Struthio camelus: one gene and its partner. The main gene of each other region encodes a partner of the protein of the gene in region 2 in a complex. Links are inferred from orthologs where the notes say so. Each region holds a gene or a part of one and is shown on either strand. Other genes may lie near its edges.

What was found. The genes of interacting proteins can lie anywhere in the genome.
Region 1: CDHR2 (region 2) and MYO7B share a complex: the UniProt entries of both Homo sapiens proteins name them as parts of the IMAC/intermicrovillar adhesion complex. The link is inferred for Struthio camelus from reciprocal best matches to the Homo sapiens genes CDHR2 and MYO7B.

Annotation. Positions count from the first base shown.
Region 1 is NC_090950.1:6,319,481-6,326,323, forward strand, and holds the start of MYO7B (unconventional myosin-VIIb), read left to right. Parts: upstream 1-3,834; 5' UTR 3,835-5,116; coding exon 5,117-5,296; exon of another isoform or gene 5,297-5,758; intron 5,759-5,920; exon of another isoform or gene 5,921-5,929; coding exon 5,930-6,082; intron 6,083-6,843. UniProt on the Homo sapiens protein: Myosins are actin-based motor molecules with ATPase activity. Their highly divergent tails are presumed to bind to membranous compartments, which would be moved relative to actin filaments.
Region 2 is NC_090954.1:10,026,915-10,034,508, reverse strand, and holds the start of CDHR2 (cadherin-related family member 2), read left to right. Parts: upstream 1-4,583; 5' UTR 4,584-4,699; intron 4,700-4,786; 5' UTR 4,787-4,866; intron 4,867-5,492; 5' UTR 5,493-5,505; coding exon 5,506-5,551; intron 5,552-5,927; coding exon 5,928-5,993; intron 5,994-6,115; coding exon 6,116-6,255; intron 6,256-6,654; coding exon 6,655-6,708; intron 6,709-6,940; coding exon 6,941-7,030; intron 7,031-7,567; coding exon 7,568-7,594. UniProt on the Homo sapiens protein: Intermicrovillar adhesion molecule that forms, via its extracellular domain, calcium-dependent heterophilic complexes with CDHR5 on adjacent microvilli. Thereby, controls the packing of microvilli at the apical membrane of epithelial cells.

The DNA.
Region 1 (6,843 bases), on a different chromosome or scaffold from region 2:
CCTATGTTTGCTAAGTACCATGCTCCTGTACCACTTTGCATCGCTTGTAGTTACAGGTCATCACATCCTTGAAGTTAATGTGCAGGTAGAGCTCCTGAGTCCTGAAAAAGGACGTGAGGACATGGCCATAAGAATAGCTGATTATGAGAGATGGAAGGTCCTTCCTGAGATACTGTAAAAAAGAAAAGAAAAAGGCAGGCAGCCAGAAAACATACGTTCATGTTGTGTTGCTAGATTTTCCTAGATGTTGTGCTGCAAAATCTAGAATTGCCTTAGTTATGCATGAGCTCTGGAGGCTGCCGTAGTCTAATATAGTCAGCAGGTGTTGTGCTGGGGACACAGCACATGCAGTTTCTCCATGTATCACGTTTTGTTATTAAGGTCTATATTCCACTTTTCCTCCACTTATTGGGTCAGTTACATTAAAATTACATGTAAAATTCTGGCTTTTAAATGTGTGTTAGCATTGGACTTCTACAGCAGCAGTCTGGCATCTCTTCAAGTTTCTATGCATTTTTTCCCTTGGAATCACAAGACATCTTGTAATTTTGAAAACTGGTTATATTTAGCATGTTTTATGACTATTTAAAAGTGGTTAATCATTCTGGGCTTGTTTAAAAAACGTGTTTAATCTGTGCTACTGTATAGCCCTTTATGGCCACATAAGGGAGGGCTCCAAGATCATGTGGCTGATTTTTCCCTCTGAATCCAGACATGCACTTCCTAGTTTCCTTATTTGCTACCGTAAAGCCTTCCTTATGTTTAGAACTGTGGTGTTATCCAGACAGTGGCAGTATCTCACATAAAGGAGTATAATTGTTACCTCCATTTATTCAGAAGAAAAGGTTGCTTATGCACTCATCAGTTTTATCTAAAAGTCCTCAATTTATGGAAGTTATGTATACTTTCCCACATCACATGGGTAAAAAACCAGTTGCAGGCTATAGGTAAGCAAATGATAAAATGAGGCCTAATTCTCTCACTGCAAAGTTTTCTTCCACCACTGAATATCGACATTTATTAAAACAAGAGGAAGAAATAAGTATTATCCCCAAACATCATCTTGAGTTTTTTGAAATGGTGATACTCATTTTTCAAGAGCGTGAATTCCAAAAAGTAAAGTAGTGATTTGAAAGACTGCTTTCTAAAAATTCAGCCGCAAAGTCTATACCTCAGAAACTTGTATAACTCCACCATAAAATGAATCAGATTCAAAATCATGAAATGATTGAAATGATTCAGTCAGAAGATTAATGATATCTGGGTACCTCTCAGAAAAAAAATACATCCCTCTTACACAGAATTGTAAATAGTATGATAAATTTTACTTTACGATATTAAAGCCTTTACACATGATAAAGAGAAGAAATCTCAAGGATTTCAGTGAAATTATTTATGAAATATCCCATCAATCACTAAAGTTAATGGTACTACTGCAAACTGGGATTCCATGATCATCTGCACAGTACTGGCAGAACATGCAACTTTCAACTTGGTTAATTTGGGGGCTTCTTTTTTTGCTCAAACTTTCCAGAAAACCTGGCCAAAAAAAGCACACATGCATAATTTGGGACCAAAACCAGATAACTTCTCAAAAGGCTATGAGAAAATAAGAAATTTGAATTCAAGCGTCAAGATAAAACTAGAACCAGCTTCTCTTTTCTTCATGGGTGGGTGTTCCAAGAGATCCTGGACCTGTCTAGAATTAGTGCCAAAGATCAATTTCTTGTCCTGAGTTGTCCACTCGTCCTCTTGTCAAATGATTTACAAGAGGTGTGCCGTCAAACAGTAGTGTAAAGAGGGATGCAAATGACTCAATATATCCTCATTGAGCTTCAGCCAAGCAGGAAGTTGTAAAATCTGCTTGAGATAAAATAGTAAAAAATCTTCATTAATAATACATGATAAAAGGGTAGAATTAGAATTTATTTTCGGTGCAATGTTAGCATTTTATTTACGGAGCATTTTGCTTATTGCAACTATTTCATTCTTATTATGAACTCTGAGCTGAGCCTTTTTTCTGGATGTGCAAAAATGGGGTGGCGGGAGAGATACTTTAGAGAAATGGAGGGAGGAGAGCTGGTCACACCACTCTGAGAAGCTTGTGAATATGAAGTTTTGTAGGCTTGGGGTAATAAATGATGTCTACTGCACACAGCAGCTATTGAGTCATAGATTGCTCAACAGCTTTAGGTGCAGTGACAATTCCTGCTGGTAGGAAGAGAAAGCAGAGGAAAAACCCTGCCTCTTTTGATGGGAAGAGAGATGCACTTAACTCACATTACGGTGAGCTGGACCCAACAGCAGCAGGGAGAGGATGAGCAAGTGGAAAGCAAATGACTATTAGATGTATACCCAAGATGCTTCACGCTCCTCTCCTGAGGCTGTGCCTTCGTTTCCTCAGATGCACAGGTTGCCAGTGGGAGGGACTCTGCTCTTCAATTCATTGTTTTGCCCAGGATCAGCACACACAGTCACCCAGGGTAAACAGAGCCATATGGCAATCCCTTCTTTGTGTGCACCAGCACAGAGGAGAGCTTCCTCCTGTGTGATACACCGGAGGATAAGAGAATATGCCTTCCTCATATTATTGCAGAGTTTTCAGAAGTTATCAGGGTTTTATTCAGTACTATTTGCATAATGGAAGGTTGAAAACCAATTCACCATCATCAGCCACTAAATTAATATAATGAAAATGTATTTTTAATTCCTTCCTCAGTGTCTTTATTTGAACTGTGCAAGTTGGCACACGAGTGAGGAGAGATCTCTCAGTCTTTTTAAAATGTGACCTGCTGCTTAGGGCTTGCACTCAGCTGAAGCCTTTCATGCTCTGGAAACATTTACAGTGAACTTTGCAAAGAGTCTGCCTGCGATTTCCTACACGCAGCCAAAGGCATGTAGCAGCCCTCACGCTAGCAGGGTGGGAGCCAGCAAACCACACCTATCCCTGGCATCGCTCCCGAAGTCCAGCTGCTGGGGCATATAAGACAGTACGTGGCTTCTAAAGACTTTGGTTCTTTGGTTGTTCCCAGGCTCACAGCCTAAACAGTATCATCACTTATTCAGAGCACTGGTGTAGGTTTCTGGCCACGTCTTTTCACTATGTTCTTGACACTGAGCTCCTAATTCTATCGTGGTTCCTTGGAGACGTTGCCATTTTTGAGCTTGAAGCCTAAAACTTTTCTTATTTTACTGTTCATGCCTTTACTGCAACCACTCCCACGCCAGAGCTCACTTTCTAAAGGGTAGTAGGTTCAAGCTGTGAGGGTCTGAGTGCACCGGGCACCTTAAGAGAGTAAGACTTAAATCTGTGTCACTGGGCTAGGCACTCACCAGAACTCTTCTGTGTAATGAATTACACTGCATTGCATGGGGTCTTGTTATTTGTAAGCGAAACTTAAATTTGAAGTTCAGCCGATAAACATGCCTAGCGTTTGATTGAGGGAACTATTTGGTGTGAAAATGTGCAGTGACTTCTTTGGGATGGAGAGCATCTCCAGGGTTATGTGGTGGACCTCACAGTAGACCACCACACCTGTGTGGCAGATGATTTGCCTCATATAGATGGTTTCATTGTTTCCACATTGGGTGTACTTTCTTACAATTTCTTTTGCTTTCATTTTATCAGTAAACAGAATTATTAAGGTATTTTGCTGTTATTCTTACACGTAAACATCTCCATGCCACTGTCTGTTCTGAACAAAAAGCCCAAGACCTTTTCTGGCATAATGTCATATTCTTCTTTTTGGGATTGCAGGTTGCCAACAGTGCTCTGAAACGTAATGACGGTTTTCAGAAAGGTAAGTCATGTTCTTTGTTGTGATTTAATGATTAGCCTGAGGCCCAAAGAGGAGAAAAGGACCATAACATGGTTCAGCTCAAAAACAAAAGCAGCAGTAACCCACTAGCAACAGGGTACCAAATAACATCCATGTAATTGCAGAGATGTCATGCTCATGTTCAGCTGGTGACCTGGGCCACAAGGGATGGCACTGAAACTACACAGATTGCCAGTGGAGTCTCATTCAGTGTAAAGCAGGACTCTCTCAGCGTGTGACATTCTTCATAACCTTGGGCAATGCTTACAGATGCTTTACATTACAGTTGATTTGGTTCTAAAATGTAAGCCCATAAAGTATTTTAAGAGAAAAAAGAAAGAATTTTTCAGGAAAAAAAATGAAACTTTATCAGTAAATGCTATAATGTGGGACAAAGCATATATTATGACAAGACACCCCACTAGAAAGCTGGCTCCTCAGCAGGTGCAGTTCCATTGGAGCAGTGGAACTGAGCCAGTTTACACCCATCGAAGATCTGACCTATAGCTTTATTGAATTTTCATTCTAGCCATTAAAATCAAACTTTTTGTTTGAACTTGAATTAGTGCCAGGGGCAAGAGAAGGCATTCTGAGGGGCTTGGACTCGAGGAGTATTACCAGGACAGTAGCAGAGGCCATACCAAGATTGCATGAAAATAGTGCTCGTTCCTAGTAAAGAGCAGCCGTAGCTCACACCTTCCCTCTGGTGACGGCAGAGCAGTTCTGCCTGTTTACTCTGTAGGCAGGATATTACCTGAGCATTTACCTCTCTGTCAAGAGAGGTGCTGGGCTAAATAAGGAATACAGGTTTTGTTTCCTAAGAGAGATCATGGATGCAGTCATGTTTCCAAGTGATTTGAGTGATAGCAGAGAGAATATATACCTAAAACTACTGCAGCAGAGCCATCTACGTTTCCAGGGATCTTGTCTATCCATCTTTTTATTTTTCCCTGATTATGTCTTTGTTTTCAAGTATCTTTTCTGTACGAATACTGTAGCTTATGTGAGTTTGTCAAAGCACTTTATAAGCATTCACTATGCCCCCTGCAATCTCTGGGAGGTAGTGGAGCTGCATAACCACAGTCCTTTTTTAAGTGTTGTGTCATTTCCTCTTGTAAAACAGCTGGGCTTGATGACATGTCCAAAGTCACGTACCAGGACAGTTGTGGAGCTGGAAATAAAACCCAGAGGTCCTGATACTGTAACCATTAGATTGTACTGCTTGTAAGCAGTAAGAATTTGTCCAGTTAAAAACACTTGCAGAAGAAATCAAAGCAATAAAAAACTAAAACTAAGAGATGCATACCTGTGAGCTACATGACATCAAGTATGTCACTGTACTTGACAGTTTTTCTTCTCTCCAGGGTGATCACGTGTGGCTGGAAACTCATTCAAATAGTGAATTTAACGTCCCTATTGGGGCAGTTGTGAAGGACTCGGACTCAGGACGGATCTTGCTGGAGGATGATGAAGGCAAGGTGGGCTATGCTATAACCTTCTGTAAAGGAAGAACGTACTTAAAAGTATGGTAACAAAAGAATGGCCATATTGCGTCAGACGCTAGCTCCATCTAGCCAAATTATCTGACTTTGACGATGGTTTTAAAGAAAGAATATAAAAATAAGGCAAGCATGCGGTGATACTTCCCTAGTATATCTTCCCAGGTCCCAACAGTGCGCAGATTTAGGTCATCGTGAGCGAGAGGTTGGATCCACATAGCTAAAAGCAGGAAATGGACAGGCTCCAGCCCCTAAGTTTGGTGGAACTCTGGGTGAAATCGTGATCCCACTAAAGTCAGTTTGTCTGGGGTTTCACCCCTAGCTCTTGCATGCTGTAGCTGTGATGAACTGACACAGAACTGTACTCCAAACACTGCTAAACTTGATGATGTCCAGAACTCACCTGAGTGGCTTCATCCAGGGCCTGTCAATCATCCTGTCCTGGGGAGCAGCACATCTATTAATTCCTCTAGTTGAGTCAGCTGTGACTTAGAGCACGCTGTTTTCAGTGTGGATTGCAGTCAAGCTCGTTCCAGTCTAACATGCCTCTCTGCTTTGTTTGCTTCTGAGACACACTATACCTCATCAAAACTGCTGCCTTACCTTTTTCAGGAGCACTGGATCACGGCAAAGAACATGCACATGGTGCGCCCAATGCACCCCTCCTCTGTCCAAGGGGTGGAAGACATGATCCGCCTTGGGGATCTCCATGAAGCAGGCATGGTGCATAACCTCCTCATCCGCCACCAGGAGCACAAAATCTATGTGAGTGCCGAGGTCACAGGGCACAGTACTGCCAGGAATGACCTCTACTTCACATCCAGACGGGTGTCCTGATCAGCAGCTTACAAGCCTCTTTTCATACATGGTTACATCTGCTTCCTTTACTGATTGAGGATGCTTAGGAGGCTCAACATAGTTTTTGTCCTCGTTCATCCTAACACTTTGACTGCAAAGAAGAGAGCTGATAGTAGTCTCTGAAATCACTGAAATATGCATAGGGCATGACCCCACTTACTCTCTCCTAGAGTGATCGTTTCCAGTGGTGATTGACAGTTAGCTAGATTTCCAGTCCATGTTACCGCTTAGTGCTAGAGCGTACATGCTCCTATTACATGCAGCTGTGATATGTTATCTGTCTAACTAGTAGACAGTGACATGATTTGGATTGTCCTCCAGTCCAAGTCAATGTTTACTTGATTTTGATGTGATAAAGTAGACCAAGAAGAAAGCTGGAGATTTTGGAAACCTGTCAGAGATTTTCTGTGTGACTTTGAGCAACTTATTTAATTTCTTTATTCCTTAGTTCTTGCTTTGTAAAATGATAATAATACTCAGATTTTTGCATTCTTTACCTCCCATGTGATATGCACTACAACCTTCATAGTAGAGGAGCTGCCCCTTACAATACAAATGTGGTGATGTCCAGTGTAATCAAGTACTGATTTTGACAGATGCTGCAGTTATAACTACCAGGATATGTGTTAAGACCTGTTACATTAGTGTCTAGCAGTCTACTGTTGTCT
Region 2 (7,594 bases):
AGCCCCAGCCAGAGCCAGCTGCTGCTGTGACCTCCCTGCACGCAAAGCGGAAGAGGCTCAGCTTCGAGACCTGAGCACACAGGCTCACCATTTCCTGCCCTTCCCAGCCCTCCGCTTCTGCCCCGCCGCACACCGCCTTCCCCGTGCGAGCATGCCAGGCCGGTCGCTGGAGCAGCCGGGGCTCCAGATGGCTCTCACCACCCCTGCAAACCTCTCCCTTCATTGCAGCGGGGAGCTACCGGCTCCTGGCAGCAGATGGAGGGACCACAGCAGCAGCAAGAGCTGTACAGATACCAGACGGCAGGGCGCCTGCCTGCCCACGGAGTGGAGATCACCACCCGGCTCCCGCTCTGCCCCCACGCTGGCATTGGCGGCAGCAGCCAGCCTGCCCCTGGTGGAGGGCACGGTCCCTTCTTCATCCCCGCAGCGTGCCCAGGCCACAGGACTGGCATGGCACGTACCAGAGGTGGCTTCAAGCAAACCACGCCTGTGTCACCCCAGGCTGCTCCAGCCCAGGGCCAGTGCCCAGGTGCCCGCCATCACACCACTTCACTCCGAACACACATCCCTCCCTTAGACCTTCATTCATCCAGAAAGCAGTGAGAGACTAGGAGGTGGTTCCTGTCCTGCTAGTGCCAGGACAGACCGCAGGTATAGCTCCAAAGGGACAGCCCAGCAGCGCCAGCCACAAGGTGCTCTGACCTGGCTGAGCAAAGCCGGTGATGGACAGACCATGCTGCATGGGCCCTAACCCTGACCTCTGCCAGTCTGCCCGAGGGCAGGCTAGCATGGTCGTGGTCACATCTCTGCAAGGCGGCCTCAGGGTAGGTCCCTGGGACACAGGAACAGCCACCAGTCAGAGCGCCCCAGTTCCAAGCAAGGTTTGGGGGGGACAAAGCCCCGCACCCTGGCTGCGACTCCTTGTGCAGCAGGGCTCTGTGCAGAGGGGAGTCACACCTGAGCCCAGGCGGCTCCCGCCTCCCATGCCAACACCTGCCCCGGCCCTGCTGGCACTGCCACCCGAGCAGAGGGATCGAGACGGGCTGCAGGGCACCTGCCAAACCAAATCCCACAGCCCGAGGGACTTGCAGACGCAGAGCACAGCTCCTGCAGCCTGGCCAGCTTCAAAGCAAACACCCAAAGGTGACAAACAAAGGCACCCAGCAGGCGCTCCGCATTAGCAGTATTTTTAGACGCCGCTATGGAGCCGGCCTTATTATTTTCATTGCAACGTGCATAATTACCCACCATGCACTGCAGTGACATCAGACGGCAGCCTGCTCCCATCCGACAGCCGGCAAGGCCAGGCTCGCGCCTGCTCCTCCACCCATCGCCCCGGCCGCGCACAGCGCTCCTGCCACAGGGACGGATTCGGCCTCCGCAGCCTCTGACCTGCGCATCTCCCCAGGGCACGGCGTCACCGCTGCACGCGGGAGCTGCGCCTCCCAGGGGACTCGGGTCCTCGGGAGCCAGTGAAGGAGCCAAAACAGGTGCAGGTGGCACAGGGGAGGTGGGAGGAGAGGCCGAACGGGGCAGCGACGCAGGACGGTGGCGAGGAGGAAGGCACAGGACGAAGCTCCGGAGCTGCAGACGCGCGGGCGAGACCCGCTCAGCCGGCTGTCCGAGAGGCAAGGGGCTGGTGCAGGGCTCCCGGGGCGCAGTCTGCATCCGAGATGCCGCAACAAAACCAAGACGCACTTGTAGGAAGACGTGCTGGCCCGACAGCGGAGAGACAGCATCCACCATGGCGCAGGCTGCCAGCAGAGTTCAGCCGCTGAACTTCTGCCTGAGGAAGCAAACCCTGGCGCGCAGCACCAAACCCAGAGATCCTGCAGGCCTGCAGAGCTCAGGCTGTAGGTTTCGCACATCCCAAGCTACGGATACCCCCATTCCCACACAACCTCTGTGGGACGAGGCTGCTCGTGAGCCCAGCCTGGCACACGCACACCGCCTGCGATCGTGGTATACGCAACACCGTCTAAGGGTTTATTTATTTCCAAGCAGCTTCTCCATTTACGACTTTCTCAAGAGTTTCGCCACTTCCCCTTCCGTCCCTCCTCACGCAACACGGCGCTCACCCCGCGCGGGGCTGGAGATGACCGATTTCAGGTCAAGCAGCGCCGCGCTGGGAACGGGAGCGGCAGACGGAGCACTTTTATCTCGTCCTATAAAAAGTGCCCTTCGAGTCAGCGACACAAAACCCAGCCTCGACGCAAGCCAACAACTCCTGCGCAGCCGGAGACACGGCGGGGCAGAAACAGGGCGGCCCGGCAGCCCCCGCAGAAGGGACGAGAGCGCCGCTGGGCTCCAAAAGGAGGCGGGCGCCCGGCGCAGCCCGCCCCAGCTCTGCTGCCCTCCCCGATGCCCCGAGCAGACCCGAGGCGCCCGGCGCGGCCCTGCTCTCCCTGGGGGGCTCCCAGAGAGCTGGGGGCTTTTTCCGCCCGTCCCCGGCGGCAGCCACCCCAGCACACCCACCGCCTTGCGCCTGCCCCACGCGTCCAGCCCCGGAGCAGCGGGTCCTGCCGCCCCACGCAGCCACCCGCCCGCCGTGCGCCGGCCCCACAGCCCTGCTCACTGCCTTTCGCCTGGCATCAGGCCCTGCCCGTGCATCTGCCACCGTGCACCGCTGCACCGGGCCTGGCCTGCCTCTTCCCGGTGCACCGGGCCGGCCTGCCCCACCCCCTGGCACCGCTGCACCAGGTCCTGTCCCCTTCCTGGTGCACCGGGCCTGCCCCCTTCCCGGTGCATCCAGCCTGCCTGCCTCTTCCCGGTGCACCGGGCCCTGCCCACTTCCCCGGTGCACCGGGCTGGCCTGGCCACTTCCCCGGTGCACCGCGCCCTGCCCCCTTCCCGGTGCACCGGGCCTGCCTGCCCCTTCCCGGTGCACCGGGCCTGCCTGCCCATTTCCCAGTGCACCAGGCCCTGCCGCCTTCCCGGTGCACCGGGCCCTGCCGCCTTCCCGGTGCACCGGGCCCGCCTGCCCACTTCCCGGTGCACCGGGCCCTGCCCCCTTCCCGGTGCACCCAGCCTGCCTGCCCACTTCCCGGTGCACCGGCCCTGCCCCCTTCCCCGTGCACCCAGCCTGCCTGCACCCTTCCCGGTGCACCGAGCCCTGCCCGCCCCCTTCCCGGTGCACCGGCGCTGCCCGCCCCATGCTACCACCCCCCTACCCGGGCTCCGGCCCCGGCGCCGCCGCTCCCGCACCTACCGGAGGCGCCGCCCCCGCCGCTCGCCCGCTCTGCCCGGCGCACGAAGGCCGCTCGGTGCCCGCCCGCGGCTCAGCCCGCTCGCATGGCGCGGCCGCCGGGCTCGGTGTCCCTCCCGGTGCCGGTGTCCCTCCCGGTGCCGCTCCCGCTCCGGCCTCGGCCCGGCCTCAGCCCCGCCTCATGGTACCCCTGCGCCCGCCGCCCCGATGGAACCGGCCGCGCCGCGCCGCCAGCCCCCCCCCGCCACGCGAATGGGCGCGCCCGTCCCCCCCAACCCTACTACGCCCAAGAGCGGCGCCGACGAAACCGCGAGGCGCCGTGCCGGGCCGCGGGGCGCTCTGCGCCGTAATGCTTCGAGCGGCAGCGCACGCGCCCGGCTCGGAGGGCAGCGCTGGGGAGTGTCCGGATCTAGCCCGGGAGGCTCTGCTGGGGTGTCCCAGGCCAGCCCGGGGGGCTGTGCTGGGGTGTCCCGGTCCGGCCCGGATGTTTCTGCTGGGGTGTCCCAGTCTGGCCCGGGGGTCTCTGCTGGGGTGTCCTGGTCCGGCCTGGGGTCTCTGCTGGAGTGTCCTGGTCCAGCCTGGGGTCTCTGTTGGGGTGTCCCAGTCTGGCCCGGGGGTCTCTGCTGGGGTGTCCCAGGCCAGCCCGGGGGGCTGTGCTGGGGTGTCCTGGTCCGGCCCGGGTGTTTCTGCTGGGGTGTCCCAGGCCAGCCCGGGGGTCTCTGCTGGGGTGTCCTGGTCCGGCCTGGGGTCTCTGCTGGAGTGTCCTGGTCCAGCCTGGGGTCTCTGTTGGGGTGTCCCAGTCTGGCCCGGGGGGCTGTGCTGGGGTGTCCTGGTCCGGCCCGGGTGTTTCTGCTGGGGTGCCCCAGGCCAGCCTGCTTCCCCTCACCCCAGCATGTGGGGAAAGTACCTGGTGGGGCTGGATGTCCTGGGGGCACCCTTGAGTCCCCCTGGCTGCACCCTGCAGGGCTGCCCAGCCCCTTGCCCCCTGGGGTCCCCGGTGAAAAGGGGGTGAAGGTGCTGGGACCCCCCCGGCCGGGTGCTGCAGGCCCTCGGGGCTGGGGCTGGCAGGCCCGCGCCCCCGCCTCCCGGCCCCCTTCTGCCTGAGCAGAGACGCACAATCCGCCCTTGTCCCCGGCCGGCCCCAAGTAGGTCAGGGAGGCCGGGCTGAGCCCCCCGAGCTCCCCAGGAAGGAGAGAGGAGCTAGCAGGCACGGGCTGCAGGGCCCCGGGCTCCCGCCCCGGCAGCCACTCCGCTCACCCCCTGCCCCAGCGGGAGCCAGCTGTCCCCGACCCAGGGGACAGGGTCCATCCCCAGTGCCCTCAACCCATTTCAGAGGGCGGTCCCCTCCATCCTGGCCTGCTTGGAGTCCCTCCGCCCCGCCGTGGGCCCTGCCGCGCTCCTGGCACCCGCGGGAGCCGCGGGGACAGCAGCCAGCGCGGGGGGCTGGGGGGCTGCGGCTGAGGAGCGAGCACGGGGCCAGGCCGGACCCGGGAGGTGGGGGATGAGCTCGAGGAAGGAGGAAGGTGAAAATGGATTTCTCACTCCCTAATTCCAGTTAATGATTGATGAACCTGTTTACAGCAGGAGGCAAAGGTCCCCCGCGGTGCCAGGGTGTGGGTGCAGGCAGCTGCCCAGCAGCATCCCCGCGGACCCGGCCGCAGGTAAGGGATGCCGGCCCCAGCCCCCGCGGTCCAGCGGTGACGGGAGGCGGTGGGTGTCCGGCGGCAGAGAAGAGCTGCGGGCCGTGGCCCGAGGAGGGGGGCAGCCGCGGCGGTGTTACAGCTTGTGCCTGGACTCCGAGCGCCCCGTGTCCAGGCTCCTATGGGTGGGACCTGGCACCCCAGGAGAGCAGCAGTCCCATCCCAGGCTCTCCCAAATGGCTGCTGCAGCCTGGGGACACGGGTGGCTCCAGCATCCCAGCGCCATGGGGCTGGGAGGGCCTGGGGGACGCCTGCGTGGGCTCTCCCCAGCAGCTTCCCGGCGGGACAGCCGAACCCCCGGCCAACCGAGCCCTCCGGGGCTTACGGGATGGGCTGTCCCCGTGCCTGGGGGCTGCCCGTGGCCCCAGAGCCCGTGGTGGGCTGTGAACAGGCGCAGCTTGCCCCATACAGATTTGGGGACAGCATGGAGCCTGGCGTCTTGCTCCCCGGTACACTCAGTCCCGCTCAGCTCACCCGAGCTGGGTCCCCCTGCCTGGGGCGCTGCCCCCCAGGAAGGGGCCGGGGCGGCCGGCGGGAGAGGCCGGCTGCTGACCCGGAGGTGCTGGGTCTCCCATGTGTGCCCGCAGGCTTGCCAGCAGGATGGCAGGGCGCGTGCTGGTGCTGTTCCCCTTCTTCCTGGCGGCAGGTGAGGACTTTGCTTGGTGGCTTGCCAGGGTGGGTGGGAAGCGCTGGAGGTGCCTGAGGCCCCCGGCTCTCGTCCTTGTTTCCTTGAGGGCAGCCGGGACCCCCAAAACAGGTGCCCACCCCCTTGGCACCAGTGTTGAGGACCCAGCGGCTATCCTCCTACCCCAGGGAGCAGGGGTGGCCTGGACCTGGGAGGTGGGGGACGACACAAGGAGGGAGGGTGAGAAACAGCAGGCTGGGGGGTTCCCTGGCCCCCCGGGACTCAAAGCACCTCCAGGAGCTGAGCGCTGGGGCTGGGCAGGCTCTGCTGGCTCTGCGGTGCAGGGCCCGGGCAGAGGCCAGCTCAGGGCTGTGCTCAGCACACGTCCTCGCTGCAGTTTCAGGGAACACAGCCCCCTACTTCAACATGACCCTCGTGTACGTGCCAGAGGACCTGAAGATTGGTGAGTGGGGCAGCTTCAGAGCTGCCCGGATGAGGAGAGGCCCTGGGGTGCCGGGGGAGCACCCAGCCGTCCCCCCACACCCGGCAGCCCTGGGCGGGTGCTGACGCTGCCCTTGTGCCCAGGCGAGGAGGCCTTCCAGTTGCAGGCAATTGATGCGGACGGGGACCCACTCACCTACAGCATCAGTGGGTCAGAGGCCTTCTACTTCTCTGTCGAGGCCCACACGGGCAAAGTGCTGCTCAAGAACCTCCTGGACCGTGAGGTGAGGGCAGAGGCCCCGGCCCCGAGCTGTGAGCTGGCATCTCGGGCACTGGCGGGCTCTGGGGGGACAGACAGCAGAGCGAGGAGTCCTCTGGGAGAGCTGCTCGTGCAGCACCGTGGGTCCCTGCCGTGGGGCAAGGCCATGGGCAGCTCCGGGCTGTGCCGGGGGAACCGCCACGGGCTGGAGGCTGCAGGCAGAGGTGCACGTCAGGGAGCCCAGGGCTGGGGCAGGGAGCGAGGGACGTTTGCCACCAGCTCCCTGGCCCCCAACCCCAGCTCGGGGAGGGAGAGCCGGCCAGGGGGAGCAGCGCACCCAGGGGTGGTGGCTGGGAGGACTGAGCCCTGCCTGGCTCTGACTGAGTGTGTGTCTCCATGTGTGTCTCCATGTGTGTCCCCACAGTCCCTGGCCAGGCTCACGCTCACCATCACAGTGTCCGACGGGCAGAACGACGCGGTGAGTGCCGGGGTCGCGGTGTGGCAGGGGGTGGCTGTGGCAGCAGCTGGGGCCAAGCAGGGTCTCAGCGTGGACAAGGACCAGTGGTGAAGGGTGCCGGGGCAACGCTGCGCCGCCGGACGGGTGCAGAGCCGTGGGGACGTGGGGCGCCGGAGCAGCACCCAGCTCTCCTGGGCACCCCATCTCCCTGCCCCTGCTCTGCACCGTCACTGATGCCCGCTGCTCCCGGTAGGTCTCCAAAAAACTGACGGTCATCGTGGAGGACCGTAACGACAATGCCCCCATCTTCCAGAACCTGCCGTATGAAACCACCGTTGCGGAGGTAGCTTCCCACAGGGAGGAGGGCAGGCGTGCGGGGCTGGCACCGGTGGCATGGGTGTGCCGGAAGCAGGGTGACTGCGAACCTGGGAGGGGGTGACTGCGCACCGGGGAAGGCTGGATCTTGGAGCAGCACGTGCCAGGGCTGTTCCTGGGTGGGTGCCTCCGTGCCAGGCCTGGGCGCTGGGGAGGGCTGGGACTCTGCCCTTGCCATGAGTCGATCAGGGAGTGCCTGAGCCACCTCTCCACCCAGGCTGGGGTGAGGCCGGTTCGGGGTGCAGACAGGCTATGGGTCTGAGCCTGACCCTCCCCGATGGTCACAGCCCTGGCTCCTAGGAAGCCCCACAGAAGGTGAGGGGGAACCTAGATCTGGCCCCCCGCTCGGCGTGAGCAGGGACAGCAGCTCAGCCCTGTGCAGCCCACAACACCAAGCAGTCCCACAGGGCCGAGGCACCCCAGGCTAGGGCTGGCGGGGTCAGGCTCAGTGCCACTTCCCCTGCCCTCCTGGGCGATGCCACCACTGCTTGCCTTGTGTCTCCAGAACATGACAGCCGACAGCATCATCTAC